Linked DNA regions of Drosophila melanogaster. The protein of the gene in region 1 interacts with the protein of each later gene in a pairwise test. Each region holds a gene or a part of one and is shown in the gene's direction. Other genes may lie near its edges. The genes, in order: CG8079, beag and CG15914.

Region 1 (7,526 bases):
CTCGGGTTCATGGTATACCTAAGGCGATCCACGTCAATCAGACTAGCAAAGTAGTCGTTGTCAGAGTAATAGAGATAGGTGGGCACATCGATGCCCTCCACATCGTACTCCGGCGGGGTCTTGCTGCTGTACTCCTTCTTGTTGCGCGTAGATCCGTAGTCGAATTGCCGGAAGTATCCGGAATTGTACTCCTGCAGGTAGTGGAAGATCTGATTTACTGAGCATCCCGCCGGAGTGGTGGCCATAATATCTGGGAGCAGGGTCTCGTTGATATATGGCGAGTTCCAGCCGCCCAGCAGGAATAGGGTGTTGGTGCACATGAACTGTGAAATGGCCTCATCGCTGCAGAGGAGAGCCCCGAACAGGTTCATTAGCTGTGTATTTGGCAAAAATTCGGCGCTGCCGAAGAGCTCGACGAAGGCATTGGGCTGACCAAGCAGTGGTCCACCGACCGTGGCCAAAGGACTCTCCATATGCTCCATCCAGGCCACAGGAGCGAGCAAATGAGCAGATCGAATGCGACTCTTGAAGCGCGGAATCATAGAGTTGAGCACAAAAAAGGATGTGGTTCCTTGAGAGTGACCCACATACGTAAGTTGAGTCACATTTGTCCAGTAAAGGACGTAATCCATCATAGCGGGCAGATCATAGATTCCGATATCGTGCCACTCAAAATTCCAGAAGGGCTGCAGCAGCGGCGACTTGCTGGCGTGTCTTTTGGAGTAGGTGTTGCCTCTGGCATTACCCATCCACACATCGTAGCCCGCTTCGGACAGCAGGTATGCCAGCCCACTGTGAGGTCCAGCAAGAACCCAATCCGAGGAGGAACACAACAGACCGTGCATAAGGAAGACAACAGGGCGTGGCCCATCGTACCCAGTGTTCTTCGAGTACGGTATGCGGTGCATTGTGAGGATGTAACCATCCGAGGTCTGCACCTCGTGCTCCTCGATTTCGTAACCGTGTCCCCTAACAATGGTGACCTGGAAAGTAGAGCAATATAGTGGTTAGTAAGGACTTTTGGGTGCCAAAGAACATGGCATCCTAAAACTTACAGTTGTCACCGAACTGGCGCGCCCCGTATCCGCAGGCAGGGCATTAGCCAAGCCCAGACTTAAAAAAACCGCAATTAGCTGAACCACCAACATTTTGTATTCCACAGGTGCAGGTGCTTTGACCGCTGACTTGGCCGCCCGTGCCTTTTATATGCCCCCCAGGAACTTGATAAGGATTCCTAGATTTGGCTGCCTAATTTATGACTGTTTATTTTTGCCTGCAAAATGGTTTGATTCGCCAAGACTGATAGATCGTGTGGGAATTTCGATCCCAGTTGATTTAACGAATGGCTAGTGGTCATCAGCGATAAGGTCTCCTATAATCTTGATAACTGCTGATTAGGTATAATTGCTAAGAGTTAATCAGCAATTAGTATTTCCTGCTTTGGGCGTACGGCAAACTGGACATTAAAAGACCCCACATCAGTCTGTAAACTGACATGCTAAGCCGGTAAGGACAAAACTCAATAAATGTAGTATATTAAATGAATATGTTAAAAAGAATTAATTGATTTAATATTACACATAGTTCTAAGTTAAATATTTTAAAGTGATTACTATAATTAAAATTCGCGCCTATTAGTTTAAATTAAAATCGGTCGATAAGTCCAAAAATCGATAGGCGGTAAACATGTTGACACAATCAGTGTGGCCAGCTGGAATATTCGTAAAAATGTTGCGTTTTCTTGACAGGCGATTTTGTATTTTGGGAATGAGCGACGTCCGGCACACAAGAAATATAACATAAATAAAAAACTAAATAAATAATTAACTGCCGATAAAGGACACATTATGAGGGATCGCGACCGCCGTGACAGAGATCGCGACAGAGAGAGGGATAGAGATCGGGACCGAGAAAGAGACAGAGAGCGAGACCGCGACAGACGACACAGATCAAAGTCGCCCAGCAGGAGCAGCCGGCAGGTTTCAAAACCGAAGAAGAAAAAGGCCAAGAAGTCGAAAAAGTACTCGAGAAGGAGTCGCAGTAGCAGTCGCAGCACCTCGCGCAGCTCCTCCAGCAGCAGGAGTAGTTCCCGCAGCACGCACAGCAAAAGCAGAACCAGGGATCATCACAAATCGCGGTCTATTTCGCAGAGGAAAACCAGGGGTCCAAGTTCGGAAAGCAATTCCCGATCCGCAACCACACCCGCAGCTGCTCCCGTGAAGGCCATCGATCTGTTCGACACCAAGGTGCAAAAGGCACTCGAGACTATAGACGAGGACACCTTCAAGCCGGAGTCATTTTTTAGCTCCAGGGATTCAAAGGAGACATCCGATAAGGTGATCATAGATCTGAACAATGAAACGGTCACAGTCGCCAGCAAGCCAGCCACTGCAGTCCGAAACGAAGATGTAATATTCCATCCGAACGTGAGTGGGTTACCTGGTGCTCGAATATACATGCTAATAGTATCTGATTTTCAATTCCGACAGTTCCTGGGCGACCCGGATATGAAGGCCGAGAAGTGGCTGCGCAAGCTGTACAATTACCGCCAAAAGTACATGCAGGAGTAGTCGAGTTTAGACTCTGTATTTAAGAAACAATAAACCTATGTCTAGAATATATCGCTGCCCGTCTTTCGAGCGCGTTGCAAGGCCTCCTCCGGAGTCAGTTGCTCATTGACCGAGGGCTCCTTGGCGCTGCCGTCCTTCTGCAGTTTTCCCGCCTTGAAATCTTCGATAATCTTCTGCGAGTAGACGGCGTTGAAGAGATCCAAGCTGGTGAACTCCGACTGGACGACGTCCGGCGCCTTATAGGACACGTATGGCTTTAGCTTACAACCGGTCAAATCGGGAACTATGATGTCCGGAATTTTCTCGGGAATCTCCACATACTGCCCGTCGACAAGTATGCCCGTGTCTCGTACACCTCGCTTGTGAATGGCTACCGGCGGATTGGCCAGTGTTTTCTGGGCTTCCTTTACCACGCGCGTACCGCGCTTGTTGTATGCGTTAAATTTACGGAAGTTCCGCTTGCCCTCCAGCACGGATGAAGTACTGATGGTCCTCTGCTGGCACCTTAGGGCAATGGGCACTACTTTAATACAATTATTCATTCTTATTTCGTTTTTCGGCGACCAAAATGGTTAAATAACAAATGTAGATGAGGGAACAGCTGTTTGGTTGGGTAGAGATGACACTTTTTTCGATAGACAATTAATCCCAGTTGGAAATGTATTGGAAGCCAATTTGCTATTAAACTACTTGTTTTTTTAAAAATACCGAAAAAGTTTTTTTTCTTTTAGGCCGTTGCCATATTTATTTTATCTTGATAAGAACTAAGTTGTTTTTTTTTTCAAAAACTAGGCATATTTTTTTTATGTGTAAAAGCAACCATCTCTTAATAAATCGATTAACTTTGCAGCCACCAGTGCTTAAAACGACTGTTAGTTGAAATGAAACTAGATGTTGGCGGATGTCGATGTTTTTGGCGAATAACATCGACGTTTTAAACATCGATGCTTTAAATAAAAATAATTGCTTTTTATTTTAATGTTGCTTAAATAAAACGTCAGTATTTGGTGTCCACCTTTTCATCCTCCGCTGGTCCAGTAATTGCTCCTATAAGACAAATGCACGTTTACATACATACATGTATATACATTTAGACGTGCATATGACATGCATTCATATGTGCAAGCCTTTTTCGGGTGTTAAAAACTTTCTTCTCAGATATTTTCCATGTCTATCACGACGCCACAATATGGTATTAATAATTGTATTAGAAGATATGGAAAATTAATTTGTACTTACAATTTATACGCTTTTCTCCTCAGATGCGATGTAGAGATGGAAAAACATCGATGATTCCTCGAAAACATCGATGAATGCGATTTTTTGAAAACATTGATGACATCCATGCTAGCATCGATGTTTCTCCATCTCTAGCTGAAACTCCCCAAATCGGCTTGTGATCCCTATAAAAAGTTGATTTAGATTCGACGGTTGTTAAACAATGTCGTTACCGGCTGAAGAGGAGGATTTGGCGGACACTGTCGCCAAGTACGATTCCATCGAATTGAAGAGCATACAGGACCTGGAAACCTGCGAGCAGCAACAACTACTGCAGTACGTCGAAAAGCTGCACGGGATTATCCGCAAATACGACACCAAACTGGCGTCCTATAAACAAAAACTCCTACACTACGTGAGTCCCAATTAAAGGTTGAGCTAAAATGGTCTTAATTTTTGATCTATTTTAAAGGTAAGCCGGGAAGAAAAGGTTTCGTGTGACAAAGCCAGCCAAGCAACTGAATCGGAATTACAAGAATGCCAGTATTCCATGGAAAACGATGAGGATACTAACAAAAAAGACCAGCCCAACGATTGTGAGTTAAAATTTGTTTTATTACACTGAGTCCTTCTATTATTGCTACAATAGTAGTGAGTTCCTACTTTGTTTTACTGGCCACCGCGGCCACCAGCGCAGCTCCACGTCCGGATCCGTCCTCCGAGAGCATGATGTCCCACTCCTTGTCTGCTTTCACCAGCTTTTGGAGTGTTTGCCTCATGTAGGCATCGAACTTTGGATGGTATCGGTAGACGGAGCCATCCATGCCGACTATCACGCGGCGGTTGGAAGTCCTGTTCACCAGCCCACTGACTCCGATGGCTACTAATGTAGCCGCTCGCTTAGCTACGCACTCGCAGATGTATCTCAGAGTCTGGCAGTCCTCCACGGAGGCCTTCTCTAGACCAAACAGATTTTTCACAATCTTCCTTGTGCTGGCAAACTCTGGGAAGGAGTCGTCCTCGATTTCCGAAATGTAGCGCGTCTCGAAAACCTCTTCGTTTCTCTGCAGCACGCTGGCGAATTCTGGACGTCGACTGCTCTGTTTAAAGATCAGCTTGCGCTCGAGGGCACGAAGTAGCACAAGGCGCACCAGGTTGCCCAAGTACATGCCCGCCGTCATCTTTTCGAACAGCTGCTCCGATCGGTTTAGAGACTTTTCGTCAACTTCGCGATCGTATTCGGTGCGCACAAAGTCCAACTGACCACCCTCACCAAAGGCGCCCCACTCAGCATTTACAATCACACTCCGCTTCGTTTTTTTAAAGTCTGCGCGCAATAGGTCCACATTCTCAACATCTTCAACGTAGCAGGCATTGCAGCCAGTTCCCACAATGACACCCACCCGGCAATCTGCATTACGATGGGCGCAGGACATCAAGGTGCCAGTGGTATCGTTGAGTATAGCCACCACGGCAATGTCGGCATCTCCGCGCCGCTGAATGGCCTCGTGCAGCATGCGGCCCACATCCTCGCCCTCAACCCCAGCACAATCGAATCCCTTAGTCCAGCGTACCAGGATGCCCTCCTTAAGGCCTAGTTGCACGCAAGGGAAGGAAAAAGTGAAGCCCAGTGGCAGATATGCGGTCTTCATGTCGTGTTTCTCCACAAATTTGGCCAGGCAGCCCGCAATGTGATCGAATAGGTCCACACCGGGCCCCACCATCAGGTCCTTTGGCACGGCATAGATCTGAGAATCCACCGTGGCGTCGTGGTGACCTTTCAGCGAGACGAGCAGTACTCGGAAGTTGGTACCGCCGAGATCCAGGGCCAGGTACTTGCCCATCTCGTCGCCCGTGGGCAGATCCTGCACGTACGTGGGAAAACACTTGACGTTGGCCTGTGGATGCGTGGACCGCTTAAGTCCACGGGCCACTTCCAGGCAAAAGCGACTGTACACTTCCTGCACCTGGTAATCACTCAACACAAAGGGTTGCATAAGTTCTCGCACCTCCGCGTCCAGCATTTTGCTTGGCTAATCTATCTGTCTTAGTTGTAACCGCCTCGAACGATGAGTAACGACTAACCAGGCGCCTGGCGAGCCCACGGCGATTTGGAGTTGCCCTGGGTGCCTGATAAGAGCCAGGCGTTGAGATGCAGTGCGCCTTGGAAACAACTGCTGCCGCTGCAATATGGGCGCTGCGTAGCAAATTAAAAACGAAAACACACCTAAGTAGCTGATTTGCGGATTCCGAATCTGAAACTACAACTGCGCGACATGCTAATCGCTCGTTGTCTCGTTTGCCGCTTGTCAATTGGTGGCAATAGCTTCAGATTCGGCACCCTACAAATTAATTGTAGATCGTCTTTAGCCGACTATTGGAAAGGAGGAAATATGTCACAATTAACTCTGCGAATAAATCCCGGATGGACACCGATCGCATGGCACAAGAATCCATTAAGAGATTACTATTAAAAAGTGTTTCAGTATCTACAAATAAGGTGTCCTCCGTTGTACTAAATTGTTGTATAACTTTTCGTAGAGTGCCATATTTCCGGAAAAAATGGCCAAGGCCGTATTTCACTTTTTTACTTTCTAAAAGCCATAAATTGTCACAGGGCGATATTAGCTGCAACACGCCTTCTTAGTTACGATGAGATAAGGCCGTTTCAAGGACCGCATCTTACAAGCGCAACCCACCCACTTGTCTATCTATTGAGGAGTATTGGCGGGGTCCTAGGTCGAGTACGTCAAACATTCCATGCCGGTAATGCCCGAGATAAGCACTGAAGTGTCGCATGGGCTAACGCCACTGCCCCTGACAAAAATCCGAGCAGCCCTTGACACTACTCTTAATAGAATTAATATGATTACGCAAAACTCAGGGGATTAGAAAAATAATTAGAATTCTTATACTAACACTTAAATAGCTACTTTATAGTTCGTCTAAATACATATAACTATAAACATTAATTTATGAATGTAAAGATAACTACAACCCATTTCCGACTATTTTTAAAGTTGAAATAAGGAAATGTTTTTCAAAACTGCTGATAACATTGCTCATTTTCGTGTCGTTCACCACAGGTTTCTGTTTTTATTTCTATATTGTCTTAAATATTTATAAAACCTTATCAATAACCATCAAAACATTACAAGTCATGTTTGGAAAATAATTTATATTTGCAGTATCGGCGACGGACGCCTTCAGTTTTGTGGACGAAATGAGGCAGGCAGCCAAGCACGCCGAAAACCTGAACAACTTCGTTTACGAGCACACCTCTGGCATGTACTACGATCCCAAGACGGGATACTACTATAACGCGGTAAATAAGCTATAAACAGCGGACGCAATCTTTATGACGTCCCGTTCTATTCCGCGATGCAGTGACTGCACCGCGATGACTTTCAGGGGTTATCGCGCTGGCAAACCTACATCAATGGCTCGGATTGTTGTTAATCTACACCTGCTTTTCTCTTCCTCGCAGGAGTACGGGCTGTACTACGATGGTAACAACGGCTGCTACTACAGCTATGATCACGCCAAAGACTCGTACGAGTTCCACTCTCAGGCCCAGGTACAGGTGAGTGGGTGTAGTTGCGGATTTCAATGCCATACGACCACATTAACCACTGTTCTTCTCCTCCTCGCTGCGCAGCCTTTGAGCGACTGCGCCTATAGTAGTCTTTTAGCGGGGTTTCACAAACTCCGCATAGACCGAATGCGTAGCAATGCATT
Region 2 (7,526 bases), on another chromosome or scaffold:
AAACCTCACGCATGTATTTATAATTTTATACACATTAGCTGGTGACCACCGATCGACGATCTGCATGGATATTGGTCAGCTGGTGGCCAGCTAAAAGAACCTGTTAGCCAAGTAAGCCAAAAATGATAATAATTGGATTTTAAAACAATAACCATCAAAATAAACCAATTTTTTTCAAAATTTTCCGAGACCCTTTTATGTTTGCTAGCCCACCTTAATGTATGATATATGTATATGTATATTTAAATCGACACTATGCTTTCGCAACTGCACACTGAACGAAATCAGGTGGAGAGTTAACTTTGTTATGTTAGACAGAAAGCGCTTGTTGCTCCCTGCGAAGCTTGAAATGCATTCGCTGTGCGGCATACTAAATAATTAACCAACCCTTCCTTCACGTAAGTGTATAAAATTGTTTTAAAACGTCATCGAAACACTTGTAAATTGCAAACAAAAACTGTATATGTATACATACGAACGAATATTGTAAAAAGTAACAATACCAAGAATTTTGTACATTTTTGATATAAATTTAGATTACTTCGCGACGCCTTATTCCAAATACTAAAATACTGAAAATAATGAAAACGAGAGATGGTAAGAAAATCGAATTTAGACTTTTTTGTCGGTTTCGTCGAAACACACAAAAATCCAATGTAAAACAATTTTTGGAGATCAATGTAAAGTGTATTATGCATATTTTTGTACACACAAATTCGTTGTCGTGTCGTTGTTGTTGTCGTCGTCACCGTCGTCGTTGTCGTTGTCGTATTTTGTATATAACAAGCAAAGGATACCAGTCATTGAACATTTGTAATTTTCTGTACATTTCCCCCCAACACACCCATCCCATTAACCATTAATCATTCACTATTTACCATTACCCCTAATCCATCCCATTGAACATGACCACATTGCAACATCCGTATTATCCTGTCTCTGAACAAGTGAGCGCATTTCAAGCGACAGCGCAAGCAGGGCTCGGTATTATTTGTTTGGTACTTTTAGTTATTAACTTGTCAACTGCCTGTCTCTAGAGCGCAATGCACTGATAATTTTAATTTAAATAATCCATAGATGAACATTGTATTTAGGATTCTCGAGTTCGATACGGAGTGAACAATGCAAGTAGAGATGCTTTCTGTAGGCTAAACACATTGCTACACGCCGTGTACATTTGACGTGTAAAATACACCGAACACCCACACTCACACCGACACGAACACCAACACATCTACACACCCACACAGACACAAAGGACACAGCGAGCTGCTTAGCTGTAGTAGTTAGTGTAAGCCAGCGAATCCCTATAAATATTTAAACATATATACACGCATATAGAATTATGTACTACACTTAGTTTTGAACTTGACGTGAGGCAAACGTTTTTTAAAAAAGAAAAATAATGTATATGTAAAATACATGTGTAGAGTAGCGGAAGTGCCGTGGCACAGTGAAATTTACACGTATGCTGGCGTATTCTACACACGCCCAGTTTTTACAGTAACAATTTTTTGCACGCATGTAAGACACTTGGGTATACAAGTCGAAATCTAAAAATCTAAAGCGAATTCCACTTAAAAAGGATCAATATTTAACAACCACAAATGTAAACAATAAAACTTAAAATGTACGAAAAACTCCCTGTAAACTTGTAATCGTATAAAGAAGCGAATTAAGCAAGCATTTCTTTGTATGCCAAAGGCAAAAACAAGTGGGTCATTTTGAATTTGCGAAATCAGAAAACCCTTCGGCTATTGGTTTGAAATTTTCGCAAACTAAAGTGTAAAAACAAAATAAAGCCCAATACGATAAAGCCCTATAGATAACCAAGATTTCAAGTAAATATAAAGCATACCGCAGAAGCAAAAATTTGTAAAATTTTTTCGACAGCAGAACCTTGTAAACTAAGCTAAGGACATAAATAAACCTTTTGTAATTTGTTGTAAAAAGAAAGGAAAGAATGAAAGAAGGAAGGATGGCGGAAATTAAAAGGCATGACATGTGCTAGAGCTGGCGTCAAGTAAAACTATAAATTATATATAAATATAAATATATATTAAAGCATATACATACATATAAATATAAATAAACAGTAATTAATTAATTACGATAATATTTTGTAGTTACACACTCGAACACACGGAGAAATTCAAATATACAAACACAGAGCGAGACCTTTAGTTTTGTAAACCGCGAGCGATTGGCACAAGTTAAATAACTACAATTTGGACAGCATTGCATTCGAGCATTTGATTTAACAATGCATTAGATTTTTATGTTTATTATTATTATACAAAATACGATTAATGCTAATTTCTTTGTGAAAAAAATAAAACAAGTTTATTATGTAGCAAAAAGAAAACGTTTTATTTCTCAATTCGAACCGATTTAATTGTCTCTTCCTCACACCAAAATGCACACATCCACACATAGTTTCAACTGATTGGCTTCAATGGAAGGCTGCGATGACTACAAAACTGAAATCAAAATTGATATTAATACGGCATGCAATTAACGAGAATAGCATTACATTGAAAATAAATATAGATAAATAATATACACGTACCATAACCTCTATAGCCCTTCCAAATCTGCAGAAAATGGCACAACAACCAAAAATGAAAGCGCAAGTTCGAGGCATTTTATACGGCGCATTTTTTATATATGAGCAGGCTAGCTGTCTATATGATATTACCCAAAAATGGTCGACTTTTATAAATGAGCCAGTAAGTAAACAAGACATATTTTTTTATAAGCCTTGGCAAGCTAAACTTTTACCAGGCCGTACATTTTAAAAAAAATTATACATACTTAAAAGCAAGAATACTAAAACCCTATGCCCGAACTCCTAAATAAAGTCGAATACAACAGCAAAATCCATACCATACCATTTTCAACTAGTAGAATTTTTCCAAAGTGTAGAAATGTAAACCTTTATATAAATATATAGATTTGTAATTGAACTCTCTAGTTGAGGTAAAAACACTTCTATACAATATAAATAAACTCCCAAGTCGGTCGTTTCTTGAAGCTCGACATTTGGAATGAACTGGATAAAGTAGTAAAACTCATGTAGAAACACAGCAGTAAGCTAAAACCAAACTAAAAGTATAAAATATAGATAAACTGTATATAGGGAATACCAGGCAGGCAAACCACTTCAACTGAAAGCTAATCTGCAGGCTTGGGTAGGTGGAGGGTCCGACTATAAAGATGTCTTCACCCAAAAAGTTTGTTTCAAAATGTGCTATTAAACTACAGATTTCGATCATTTAAGTCTTACTTTGGTTTCCTTAGATTTCGATCGTCCACTTCACTTGGTGCAGTTTAAGAGCCCACTATTGACCAAAGCTTGTACTCCATTGTATTTTGAATGCCTACCCCCAAACTAAGCCACACAGAACGGCAGAAACGAGAACATAAAGTAATGAACAGAAAACTTGAATTCAATTATGAATGATATTAAATGAGAAAAACATAAAAACTTATTAGCCACATATGTACGTACGAAGGATGAACATAACTAATGAACAAACTTGTAACTAAATACTTCTACATATTGAATAAAAAGAATGATATTAAAAGGTAAAATTTTTGACAAATAAGAATCAGGTTGGTACATATATGGTGTTACATACAAAAACTTATTTATTTCAATTAGGGCAGTGACAGTTTTTTTATTTGACCAATATGTCTGCGTAGTTCCCCACCCTATCCGCCATCTGTATTTGCTCCTGTTCGCTGGCGAATGAATGATGCACTGCCTCCAAGGTCAAATCGATGCATTGTTCACGGGTTAGACCGAAAGTTTCCGCAGCAATCAGAAACTCCTTTGTCAAAGTGGTATCAAAAACGCCACTGTCGTCCGTGCAGATAACCTTGGGTGCATCTGCCTCCATGATTCTTTTCAAGTGGTGCTCCTCCAAGCTGGGCACTGTTCCCGACTTAACATTACTAGTGAGGCAGCATTCAATGGCAATATTTCGTTGTTTAAGCTGCCCAATGTCCTCGGGAGTAAGAAAAGTTCCATGTCCACAGCGGGACATTCCAAAGTGCAGCATTTCCTTTACCTCCGATGGATTCTCGATCTCGGCGCAGTGTATAGCTAACTTCAGACCCTTATCCCGGGCCTGTGCAAGAATAGGAGCAAAGTCGGAAAACCGCCCCTTCCCTGGATTACCGCTAAGATCGATGCCTAAGATAAGATTTGGATGAGCCCGTGCCAACTCCACAGCCAGGGAAACTGTTTCCTCAGCCACGTCCACTGGTTCCGCTCGATTGATGGAGGGCAGTAGCTTGACTGTTATCTCTGGATACGTTTCGCTAGCTGCCTTAATTGCATCGATCACGATCTGCAGGTAGTCCCTGCGTGAATAGTTCTCGTTTGCCTTAGGAGTGGTCCTCATTTCCACATACTGGACGTTGTCCTCAGCGAAATCTCGAATCGCCAACTCCGTGGCAAATCGCAGACCCTCCCGGGTGGAGGTCAACTCGTGCACAAATGCAAACTTCTCGAAGCATGCATCCATATCCTTTTCAAATCGGCTGAAGTGCGCGCACAACTTCAGGAAATCTTTACAAGAGGTTCCATACAATCGCTCGCCAAGATCACATAGGCTTTTGATGCCCAAGGAACCGTTGAGGTGAGCATGGAGCTCTACTTTGGGCAGACCTTTAAGAAACTGCTCCATTTGTAGTTTAACAATAATAACAATACATTATGAGAAACAGTGATGCTAAATGTGGAATCGATTTTCAAATATTCGTAATTATTCGGAAAAAACGCTAAAAACGCTAATCTTCCATCACTGTAAACATGTTATCGATTACAGTACGGAGAAAAATCAAAAACACAGCCAACCCTGGCAGGCAAAACCAAGAAGAAGCACAATTTGTAAATATAGATTTTCTCTGCGAGTTTTCTTCGAATTTTCTTCGCCATGTCGGATGCCCACTTGGAAGCACCGCCTTCGGTGCGACTAACCAACGATGACTTCCGCAAGCTGCTAGCGACGCCCCGAGCTCCTCCTCCTGGCTCCGGGACGAGCAGCACCTCCGCTGGAGGATCTCTGGCCACTGCTACCTTTGCCACGCCCTCCACCGCCCCCGGCACGACAGGATTGAGTGGCGAAAAGAAGAAGGGTCAGAGCAGCAGCGAGCGGAATGATCTGCGTCGCAAGAAAAAGAACTTCTATGCGGCGCTCAAGAAGCAGGAGGATGTGAAGCTGCAAGAGCTGTCCGAGAAGTACAGGGACCGAGCACGAGAACGACGCGATGGTGCCAATCCAGATTACGTGAACGTGAGCACGCCGGGACACGGAAGCAGCACCAATGCGTATCGAGCTGTAGCGCCAGATATGAAATCCGGAATCGATGCCCAGGAGCGAAGAAGACGTATCATTCAGGAGTCCAAGTTCTTGGGTGGAGACATCCAGCATACGCATTTGGTGAAGGGTCTTGATTACGCCCTTCTGCAAAAAGTGCGCTCCGAGCTGCACTCGAAGGAAGCGGAAGAGGAGGAGATTGCCGCCGCTGTGGCAAGGGAAAAGCTCGCCGAAGCAGCTGCCGCCGCTGAGCAATTGGAAGCGGAACGCCGCGAGTCGGAGGATATTAATGCAATCAATGGTGCACTAGCGCGCAATATTTACAATCTAGTGCAGGCAAGGCGTTCGAAAGAAGTTCCCCGCAATGAGCTATTTGCTCCAGGACGGATGGCCTATGTGATCGACCTGGATGACGAGCTAGGGGAGTCGGATATTCCAACCACACTGAAGCGCTCCAAGTTCGAGGTGCCGGTGTCACAAGAGGATGTTGCCACGCTGACCACCAATGACATTGTGATCAACAAGCTGTCCCAAATCCTGAGCTATCTACGTGCCGGTGGTCGCAACAAGAAGAACAAAAAGCGCGACAAGGACAAACCGCTGTTCTACGAAAAGGAGGTGGAAAATCTTCGTGGGTCGTCTAGCAATGGTGGCTCCAGTCGGCACGCCACCTCGTCCTCATCGAACATGGGAGGGAAATCAGCTCCCTTGGGCGATAATATCTACGACGATATAGGGGACTACCAACCTTCTGCCACGCGACCTGAGCGAAACCGCCAGGAGCAAGGCAAGTCCGCCCCGTCCTACTTTGGAGACGGCCCGCCGGAGGCATCAGAGGAGCCGATAATATCCAGTATTCCCCCGCCACCCAAGATATCGAAGGCCATGGCCGCACGGTTCGCTGAACCCGAGGGATACGCAGAATGCTATCCCGGGCTGGAGGAGATGAACGACGCCATCGACGACTCGGACGATGAGGTGGATTACACCAAGATGGATTTGGGCAATAAAAAGGGGCCCATTGGACGCTGGGACTTTGACACGCAGGAGGAGTACTCCGACTACATGAGCACGAAGGAGGCGCTGCCCAAGGCAGCCTTCCAGTACGGGGTCAAGATGCAGGACGGTCGCAAGACGCGCAAGAACAAGACGGAGAAGAACGAGAAGGCCGAGCTCGATAGGGAGTGGCAAAAGATTCAGGTATGTATATCCCAAAGGATTCGTCGATGATCAATACAAAATATTTATTTTTCTTTGCCATTTAGACAATCATTCAAAAGCGAAAACTGCCAAAGGACGGTGGAGGCGGCGGTGCTGGTGGCGATGAACCCGATTACAAATCCGCAAAGTACTAGAAATTCTTGAAACATTATTCTATATTTGTAATGTAATTCTGTAAAACATTAAATATAAGTATGCTCGTACTTGTATTAATCTTACATGCTCTCAAATATATTTTAGCAACGTTATCACTAATTTAACTGCTACTGGAGTTGGGAACTAAGGGGAGGGTCCTTAGGGAGCTTGGCAGGTTGACTTATCGACTATGTGCGGCAATAGCGCTGGTACAGTGGGATTCAGAACTGTAAGACCGCTGGCGCAACGCGAGTTTAATTTCCATCGAGTAAGGCCAAATGTTGGGGAACTTTAAAACGGGTTCGACAATCAAATAAAATCGATCTCTTTATTTTGCATTGCATTGCTCTTACAGTCCCGAAACGCACTGCTTGTGATTCTCAGTTGGTGTGCGAGCTGCATCTACTTAAGCTGGATGGGTGCACCTAGTGCTGCTCTCTAACATGTAACGTTTCCTGCATGCTTAGAAATATGACACTGATTAAATGTAATTACCTTCGCGGGAATGCTATTCTTAATCACTACGCTAAGTCCGAGTGTGAGGATGGTGGGGCGACTTGTATAAAATGGGTATCGGTAAAGTTTGTATCTTTCAGCTTCGGAAAACCGAAGCTCAGCCCTTTACACTGCCAAGAGTGGTTTGAGGAAATGGGGAAAACAAAGCCGGAAATGATTAAATAGTAGAATTTGTTTCTGGTTACCTAGCTTGAAAATATTGCAGCGATTTCCCACCTAAACATGTCATTAGAATTTATAAAAGTATTAAAACCGTAAAAATGGATTGATCTTCGATAAGAAGACATTTTTGAGATTCTCAAAAGGTATCGGAAAAACAGACCTGAA
Region 3 (7,526 bases), on another chromosome or scaffold:
TTGTATGTACATTAATAGTTGAAACAAAGCGCCTTGTTGATCCAGACATACATTATTATAGTTTAATAAATATACTTCTGACTGCACAAAAATGTAATTTATACATTCATATTTGTTTTTATTTCGGTTGTGGGTGTTTTTTTTTTTTTCTTTTTTCTTTTAATGCAAATTAGTTTAAATATTACGCTATTATATAATAATTTAGTTACAAAATAGAGCAATTTGTCGAACAGCATCGTCCAGAACCGCCTTTACTATTTTGTCTTTGATCTAAAAGAGGAGGAAAATTCAGTAAGATGTTTTTCGTATGCATTGCGAATTTAAATTTGAGCAGCTCTTTATAATTGAAACCATATTTCTTTTTTTTTTTTTTTTTTGAAAACCTACCTTGTGAATTGGGCTCTGGCAAATTATCACGTGGCACTAAATGCATAACAGTCGTTTTGCCTAATGGAAGTCCCAGTGCTCCTAAGGTTACATTGCAATGAAGAAAACGACCTTGATAAATTAAGCGCAAGATTTCGGCTTTCGACACAGTTTCGTGGGTCCAATCTGCAAGATATATGCACAATAATGTATTACATGGGTTTTCGCATCAAAAGTCTAACTCTAAAAGCAAAACAACTAAGAAAGAATTGATTTTAGAGGCCAACAAGCTGACAATATTTAAACAAACTTCAAAAGTCGCATTTATTTGAAATATCCAATAGATGCCATAAATATTAAATATTTCGTGGGTTGTATCCTTGTATCCTTGTGACTATGATTAAAGCGTTCTCAAAATAAATGCAGTTCACGCGAAAGGGTCAATAGCATGCCATTTAGAAGAAATATGTATATTTCACTCTATTTGTATTACGTAGCTTACATACTTAATCGTTAGTGATTAAAAATCATTCGCCGACAAACTTAACACTAAATTCACTCACCTTCTGGCCAATTATCAAATACTGTTTGTGCAATATCACCTGCGGAATCTGAAGGGCTAAAAATAAACTCTTTTGTTTTACCACTAACAAGAATGAGGCGTAGGTTAATCTGAAAAGCAAACGGATATTATTGCAATTAAATTCTTTTATATGATATAGTTTATAGTATATCGTTTTTTTATGAGAGCTCAATGAAATTAAATGTAAGTCCTGCCAAAAAGATTTAAAGCTACTCAACTAAATTGATATAAATCTGATAGCTGATTTATATATATATAAAAAAAAAACATCTTTGTAAATAAATGATTCAAAGTGCAATATGCACTCAGCTAAGAGTTGCGTAAAAGGAATCGAAGGTTGCTTCTATCTCATGTTACGTTTTACATATATGCATTTTTGCTCAGGTATTTATGCTACAAATTGTCGAAGTAACTGACGGCAACTATTCAATAGCCAGCCACCCAGTGTGCTCAATAAATGCCTAAAATAACACTTACTTTATCAGATGGTATTGTTCGGTGCATTTTCTGTGTGGTGGTGGCCAATGGGGTGGTGATATTGGCCTTGACATTGGCGCAACAATGGGTGGCGACCTCCGATGGGCTAAGGATTCCGGATCCGCAACCATCGGCGGCCAATGGGGATGAGGGTTCCGAGGAGGTCATCGTGGGCGAGAAGTTGCTCAGCTGATGATGGGGCTTTCCCTGGTAGCGCAACGATGGGGGCTTCTGGACCAGCGCGTACGACTGTCGTTGATGATGTACTGCTGCTATGGTATCGGTGCAATATGAGTACGGCAAAAAGGATTGCTGCTGCTGCTGCGACTGCTGCTGCTGATGATGATGTTGGTGTTGATGAAGCTGATGATGTTGATGGTGGCTATTGCTGGCCGAGGAGGAGCTCTTCTCCTTATCTTTCTCCCTCTCGGCGGTGGTGACCAGTGGCGATGTCGCAGACCTTATCGCCCCAAAGGAACCAGAACTGGAGGCGCTCGACGAGGATAGCGAATACGAGCGCTTGGAACTCAGGGATTTGCGCTTTTGTTGCTGTCCTGCTGCTGCTGCGATTGCGATGGTGCTGCTTTTATCCTGCTGTTGCTGCTGTTGTGGCTTCTGTTGCTGTTGCTGCTGCTGATGCTGATACTGTTGCTGAATTGCACTTGCTGTGGTTGTTGGCTTCTCAATCGAAGATGTTACCGACATGGCGAGAGGGTTGCAGTTCGTATTTGTATTTTGTGTCTTCAAGTGATTCAGTAATTCACTGACTTAACTGCCCATCCGAATTCGAAATGGGCAAGTTTCCAGGTCGCATGTAATCAGCACAATCAATTGCCAATGCCATTTTGCTATTTCCATGGAACATTGAGCATTTTTCGTTGGCGATACCCACCAGGATTTGATGTAACTCGATTCGATTATTCGCTGGCTGCACTACAATCGTACATAATAGAATACGACTACATAGCTCGGTTGAAATACACTTGAATTTTAATTGGATTGCGTTCAAATGGCTTTTCCAATGAATCCGATTGTTTTGCTTCTTTTTTTCTCAATGTTTTCTTCATATATCTGCGCACTAATCAGTGTGCACATGCATATATATATATATATATATATATATATGCGAATGTGTTTATGCCCAAATTGTAGACACTAAAATAAGGTAAAAACAGCAAGGATTATGAATGCGTACACTCGACAGTACGGATATTACATCAATGCTATTGGTCTGCTATGGTAAACTTATTGAATTTTTCTCAATTTTATATCAATGCCTTTGTACACACACATACGCATATGCATATATGCATATGTACGTATGTATGTGCTTGTGTAGTTGGTATTGGATAAAAAAAAAGCACTTTCGCGTTTGATTTTTTTTTCCCGTGCGCTAAGTTTTCAGCTTCGATTGTTGGCATAATCAGCAGTCAGAAAAGATTTTATCTACAATATACCTATGATTCACTTTGGTTTGCTTTTCAACATTTATCTTGGTCCGAGATGACACAATTTTTAATTTTCCTATAACGACACGATGGTAAATACTTATACATACTCAATTTTTGCATTTACAAAATCGGTGTGACCAGCGTGCGAGTGACGTGAACAGCCAATTCGAGGCGTTCTCCACTGGTCGGTATATTTTCGCATTGCACAGGTTGTGCATTCAAACAGCTGATAAAAACAACACCCTTCATTGTTTATTTTAAACCAATTGGGGTAATTTAATTAGCCTAATTATGTTAAATAAATGTTTTATAAATTGTGTAGTGATCAATTCAAAAATAAACAACATTTAAAATAATTAATATATTTGGTAATTGTCACTCACTCTGGTCACACACCAAGACCGTCTATCATGTCGTGCGCAAAGCCGCATATTTTGATTATTGAACCGTTTTACGGGGGCAGTCACAAACAGCTGATCGGCGCACTGATCGAGGGTACACATATATACATACTTAGAATATTACAACTAGACATACAAACTTCACTCCAACTTATCATCCAATTTGTAGGTCTCAACCATGGCGACAGCGAGATATTCAGCCTTCCCGCCAAGAAATGGCACTGGCGAGCACGCACCTCTGCCCTCCACTTCGCCCAGCTGATTCCGCGCGATCACGCATTCCGGGTGCTTTTCGCCAGCTCCGTGCTCAGCCTGGCCGAGCTGATTGGTCTGCGTCCGGATCTGGCCGCTTGCCGGAAGATCGTCTACTTCCACGAGAACCAGCTGATCTATCCGGTGCGCGAGGTGAAGCAGCGCGATTGTCAATACGGTTTCAATGAGATACTCTCCTGGTAGGTGACCATCCTGTATACCCAACTTGCATCCATAACCCATCCATTTTCAGTCTTGCCGCAGACATGGTGCTCTTCAATTCCCAATTCAACTGCAACTCGTTTTTGGATAATGTTCAGCCCTTTCTGAATATGCAGCCAGACTTTAAAATCAAGCATATTCGCGAGCAAATCGAGAAGAAATGCCAAGTGCTGTACTTTCCCGTCAATTTCGAACGGTTTCCCATTCGGAAGGAGTGCGTAAAGGGGGAGACTGCTGAGGATCTGGATGAGAAGTGCATCCATCTTATTTGGCCACATCGCTGGGAGCACGATAAGAATCCCAAACTACTGGTGGATACGCTCTGTCAGCTCCATGAGCGACAAGTGGACTTCAAGGTGACTATTTGTGGCGAGAGTTACCAGGAGATACCGGAGGAATTCGAGCATATACAGGAGAAACTGGGCAGCAAGCTGGTGAACTTTGGCCATCTGGAGCGTGAAGAGTACTTGAAGACCCTGCTGACTGGGGACATTGTGATATCAACTGCCGACCATGAGTTTTTTGGAGTAGCAATGCTGGAGGCCGCTTTCTGCGGCTGTTATCCCATTGCGCCCAACAAATTGGTCTACCCGGAAATCTACCCAAAGGAAAACCTCTACAACACCTCCAATGCGCTGACGAAGAAGCTCTACAACTTTTGTAGAATGCCGAGGGTCTTTCGCAAGCAGCGCGATCAATTCTTTGAGAACTTTAATTTCGATCGTTTTTCGGCGAAAGAACTAGTGCCAAAATATCTGGACATATTCAATAAACATATTGCAGACGAACAAAGTTAGAAATCGAAGGTTTGGCAAATGTCTATCAAAATATTCTCTGTAATATAATAGATATATTTTTGAATAAATATATCTCTCTTCTGTAACCTACAAAGCCAAAAAAAAACGATATATATATGTAAGTCCTTTGTGTTAAAACACGCTTCATTCACTTTAAGCATTTATTTATTTATGAAATATCCGAAAAAAATGGGATACAATTTAAGGTGGATGTAACCAATAATGCCATAAATGTAGCACAATAAATTCTATTTCGAAAACACAATTTGGATGAAAATTTGGGGATTCATATCTACAATATTATAAAGATGATGCGTATAGAATTTTGTTTGTAATACCTGAATATAGCCACATAGAATTTAGAGCGAACCAAAGCGGTCGAACGAATTCACCAAACACTTTTGTTTCTCGAAGTTCAGGGAGCGCGAAATACAGGACAGATTTTTGAGGCACGCATAAGCCTGCTCCTCCATAAACATTTGATCTCTGGACTTGCCACAAGCGACGCGTGCCCACTTGGGATCAATGACATGATCGTAGGTCAAGCCACCGCGGTACTTGTTAATTCTGCGATTATGGAATGGTCGATTCTCCTTTCTGCCCTCGTCGAACGGCAGGTCCTGTTCGCTGCACAGCGTGTCCTTCAAAATATCGCCCGGCGATGTGAGAAACTTGCTGGGCGTCTCGGTTTCGAAGGGTTGAATCCTCTTGGCGGAGCCAGCGTTGTATGGATGATTGGAGCTCCAAGTTGAGAGCAATGACTTCCTGGCACGTTTCATATGCGGCGGCGACTGAGCATTGTATTCGGTGCTTAGCGTTGAGTTCTGATCGGCGGCGCCCATCATTTTGGAATTGTTTGCGGTCAGCGAGTTGCTCAGATGCTCTTCATGGATGATTTCGGCCAGATCCTCCACCAGACTGGATGGGCTGGAGGGCTCGTATCGACGACCGTCCCTCTTCTTGCCGATGGCAGCAAGTGCCTTTTTGAAGGGCGTTGGTGTTCGTGGTCCAAGTTGACCTACAAATAACGATGATTGTGTGTATTCAAGATGCATTTGAAGCCAACAGTGGCTTGTACTTACTCTTGTGTGGAGTTTCTATCGACGATGTCTCCATTTCCTTTTTGATCTCCATTCCAACGCGATTATAGACCTTGGTTACCGGCGTGCTAGCCCGCAGATCCATATCTTCAAAGGTGGTCAGGCAAGGCGACTTGAGGAAGTGACTCGGTGAAAAGGGTAGCGACTTAATGGGCGATATGACGGGCGAACTCGGTGGTCGCGACCTGGCGTTTCCGGCGGCTTCTTCCTGGTTGAATGTCTCACTTGATGAACATCCTGCCTGATGGTGAGTTTCGGGAATGTGTTTGCGTGTACGCTTCAATATGATCGGTGTTTGGCGCGGCATGGTCAACTTAATGAGATGCTGCATACTGAGGTGTGCCAGATTGGATCCCTTTTGATGATCGTCTTGTGATTCCTGTGCCAGATCACCACCTTTCACGGCAGTAACCGAAGCGCCATCGGCGTTTTCGGATTTATTAACTGCCTCACCACCAGATTCCTTGTTATGTTGCATATTATTCATACACTTGCTGATGCCACCGGACTTGATCAGCGTGATGAGATGGGTTCGCGAACTCTTCAAATCGCTACCAGATGCATTAACCGATCTGCGTTCGACGTCATATTTGCGACGCATTGTTGAATTCCAATGGTTTTTAATGGCGTTATCGGTGCGTCCGGGCAGACGTTTGGCAATCTTTGCCCACTGGTTGCCCAGCTCCAAGTGAGCCTGGTAGATAATCTCGTCCTCCTTTTCGGTCCAGGCCGTTTTCTTGATATTCGGATTGAGGTGGTTGTGCCATCTCTCGCGGCACTGTTTCCCAATTCGTCCGTTCAGATATCGTGCAATTAGTGTCCATTTCTTGGGCCCGAAGTTGCGCACCAGCTTAATAACCATGTCGTCCTCGTCCCGCGTCCACGGGCCCTTGATTAGCTCCGGATTGAGGACTTTGGCCCAACGCTGCTGCACTTGCTGTTCCAGGCGATCCTTGAAATGCGGTCCGATAATCTCCCAGTTCTCACCGTGCGTCTCCACCAGCTGCTTGAGCAACACATCCTCGGACTTGGACCAGCGTTTGCCGAATCCATAGTTCGGATGCACTGCACCGATGCTAGTTTTACCGCTTTTGTTCTGTCCCTTTTGCCCCGTCGTCTTGGAGTCCTGTAGTTCGGGCGAGTCCAGTGGATAGCCCGAATCGGCATTGCTGTTCTGTTGTGAATCCTTGTCGCAAACTTGGGTATCCTCGTTCTCCGAGTACTCGGACTCCTCCGAATCCGAATTGCTGCCGTAATTCATCAGCTCCTCGCCGTTTTCAGTGCTCGCACTTGCCATCTTAAGATCAACTTTATAGGTATATATATATGAATAATGGCGCTCTTTGTATATATGTGTATGGGTTCTTTAACGCTGCTTGCGGGGCGAACAAAAGTGATAGATCTCCGGCTCTGACTTGTTCCCACGCTGGAAACGATGAACGTCGCGTTTGCAGTACAAGCACTTGGGCAAATGATCCAGAATATGCGGATGGTAGAATATGTAGTGCGAGCAAATGTCGCTGTACGAGTTACACTTGAATTGATTTCCGCACGTCAGGCAGTCGACCAGTTCACGTTGATGATCGCTGCGCAATATTGGGTGCGTCGCATCGCTCTCGGTCCGCCCAAAATCGAATAGTTTTGTTTGCTGCTCCTCGAGGCGATTTTGGTTTGGATTCGTGTTCTTTGTTACTTGAAGATTACAGATATTTGTGGACATACTCATTCAGGCAGCGAACTAAAAAGCAGATGCAAGTTTTACGATATTACGTTTATGCCAAACATTTTGATGCTCTATATTTAGCACTGAGGAAAACGGGGGAAAAAAATTACCACTCGCACATTTGTCTTCATCTAAAGTGGTGCTACCGTTATTT

Evidence for each region.
Region 2: the proteins of CG8079 (region 1) and beag interact in a two-hybrid assay, tested with the Drosophila melanogaster proteins (one large-scale study listed by BioGRID).
Region 3: the proteins of CG8079 (region 1) and CG15914 interact in a two-hybrid assay, tested with the Drosophila melanogaster proteins (one large-scale study listed by BioGRID).

What each region holds. Positions count from the first base shown.
Region 1 is NT_033778.4:15,214,453-15,221,978, forward strand, and holds the start of CG8079 (uncharacterized protein), read left to right. Parts: upstream 1-3,928; 5' UTR 3,929-4,011; coding exon 4,012-4,203; intron 4,204-4,260; coding exon 4,261-4,384; exon of another isoform or gene 4,385-4,447; coding exon of another isoform or gene 4,448-5,812; exon of another isoform or gene 5,813-5,877; intron 5,878-6,976; coding exon 6,977-7,113; intron 7,114-7,275; coding exon 7,276-7,371; intron 7,372-7,446; coding exon of another isoform or gene 7,447-7,526. Other genes in the region: CG8093 (uncharacterized protein), read right to left, coding at 1-983, 1,056-1,148; CG11808 (uncharacterized protein), read left to right, coding at 1,848-2,426, 2,490-2,570; mRpL41 (mitochondrial ribosomal protein L41), read right to left, coding at 2,612-3,112; Hex-C (hexokinase C), read right to left, coding at 4,448-5,812.
Region 2 is NT_033777.3:9,062,407-9,069,932, reverse strand, and holds beag (beag), read left to right. Parts: upstream 1-4,854; 5' UTR 4,855-4,943; coding exon 4,944-6,527; intron 6,528-6,592; coding exon 6,593-6,682; 3' UTR 6,683-6,801; downstream 6,802-7,526. Other genes in the region: Ada (adenosine deaminase), read right to left, coding at 3,681-4,694.
Region 3 is NC_004354.4:15,850,159-15,857,684, forward strand, and holds CG15914 (uncharacterized protein), read left to right. Parts: upstream 1-3,262; 5' UTR 3,263-3,287; coding exon 3,288-3,372; intron 3,373-3,447; coding exon 3,448-3,730; intron 3,731-3,783; coding exon 3,784-4,549; 3' UTR 4,550-4,812; downstream 4,813-7,526. Other genes in the region: UBL3 (ubiquitin like 3), read right to left, coding at 206-270, 388-552, 930-1,038, 1,427-2,131; Myb oncogene-like, read right to left, coding at 4,909-5,567, 5,632-6,946; CG46440 (uncharacterized protein), read right to left, coding at 7,016-7,369. UniProt on the Drosophila melanogaster protein: Glycosyltransferase that specifically catalyzes mannosylation of cytoplasmic tRNA(Asp) modified with queuosine at position 34 (queuosine(34)). Mannosylates the cyclopentene moiety of queuosine(34) in tRNA(Asp) to form mannosyl-queuosine(34).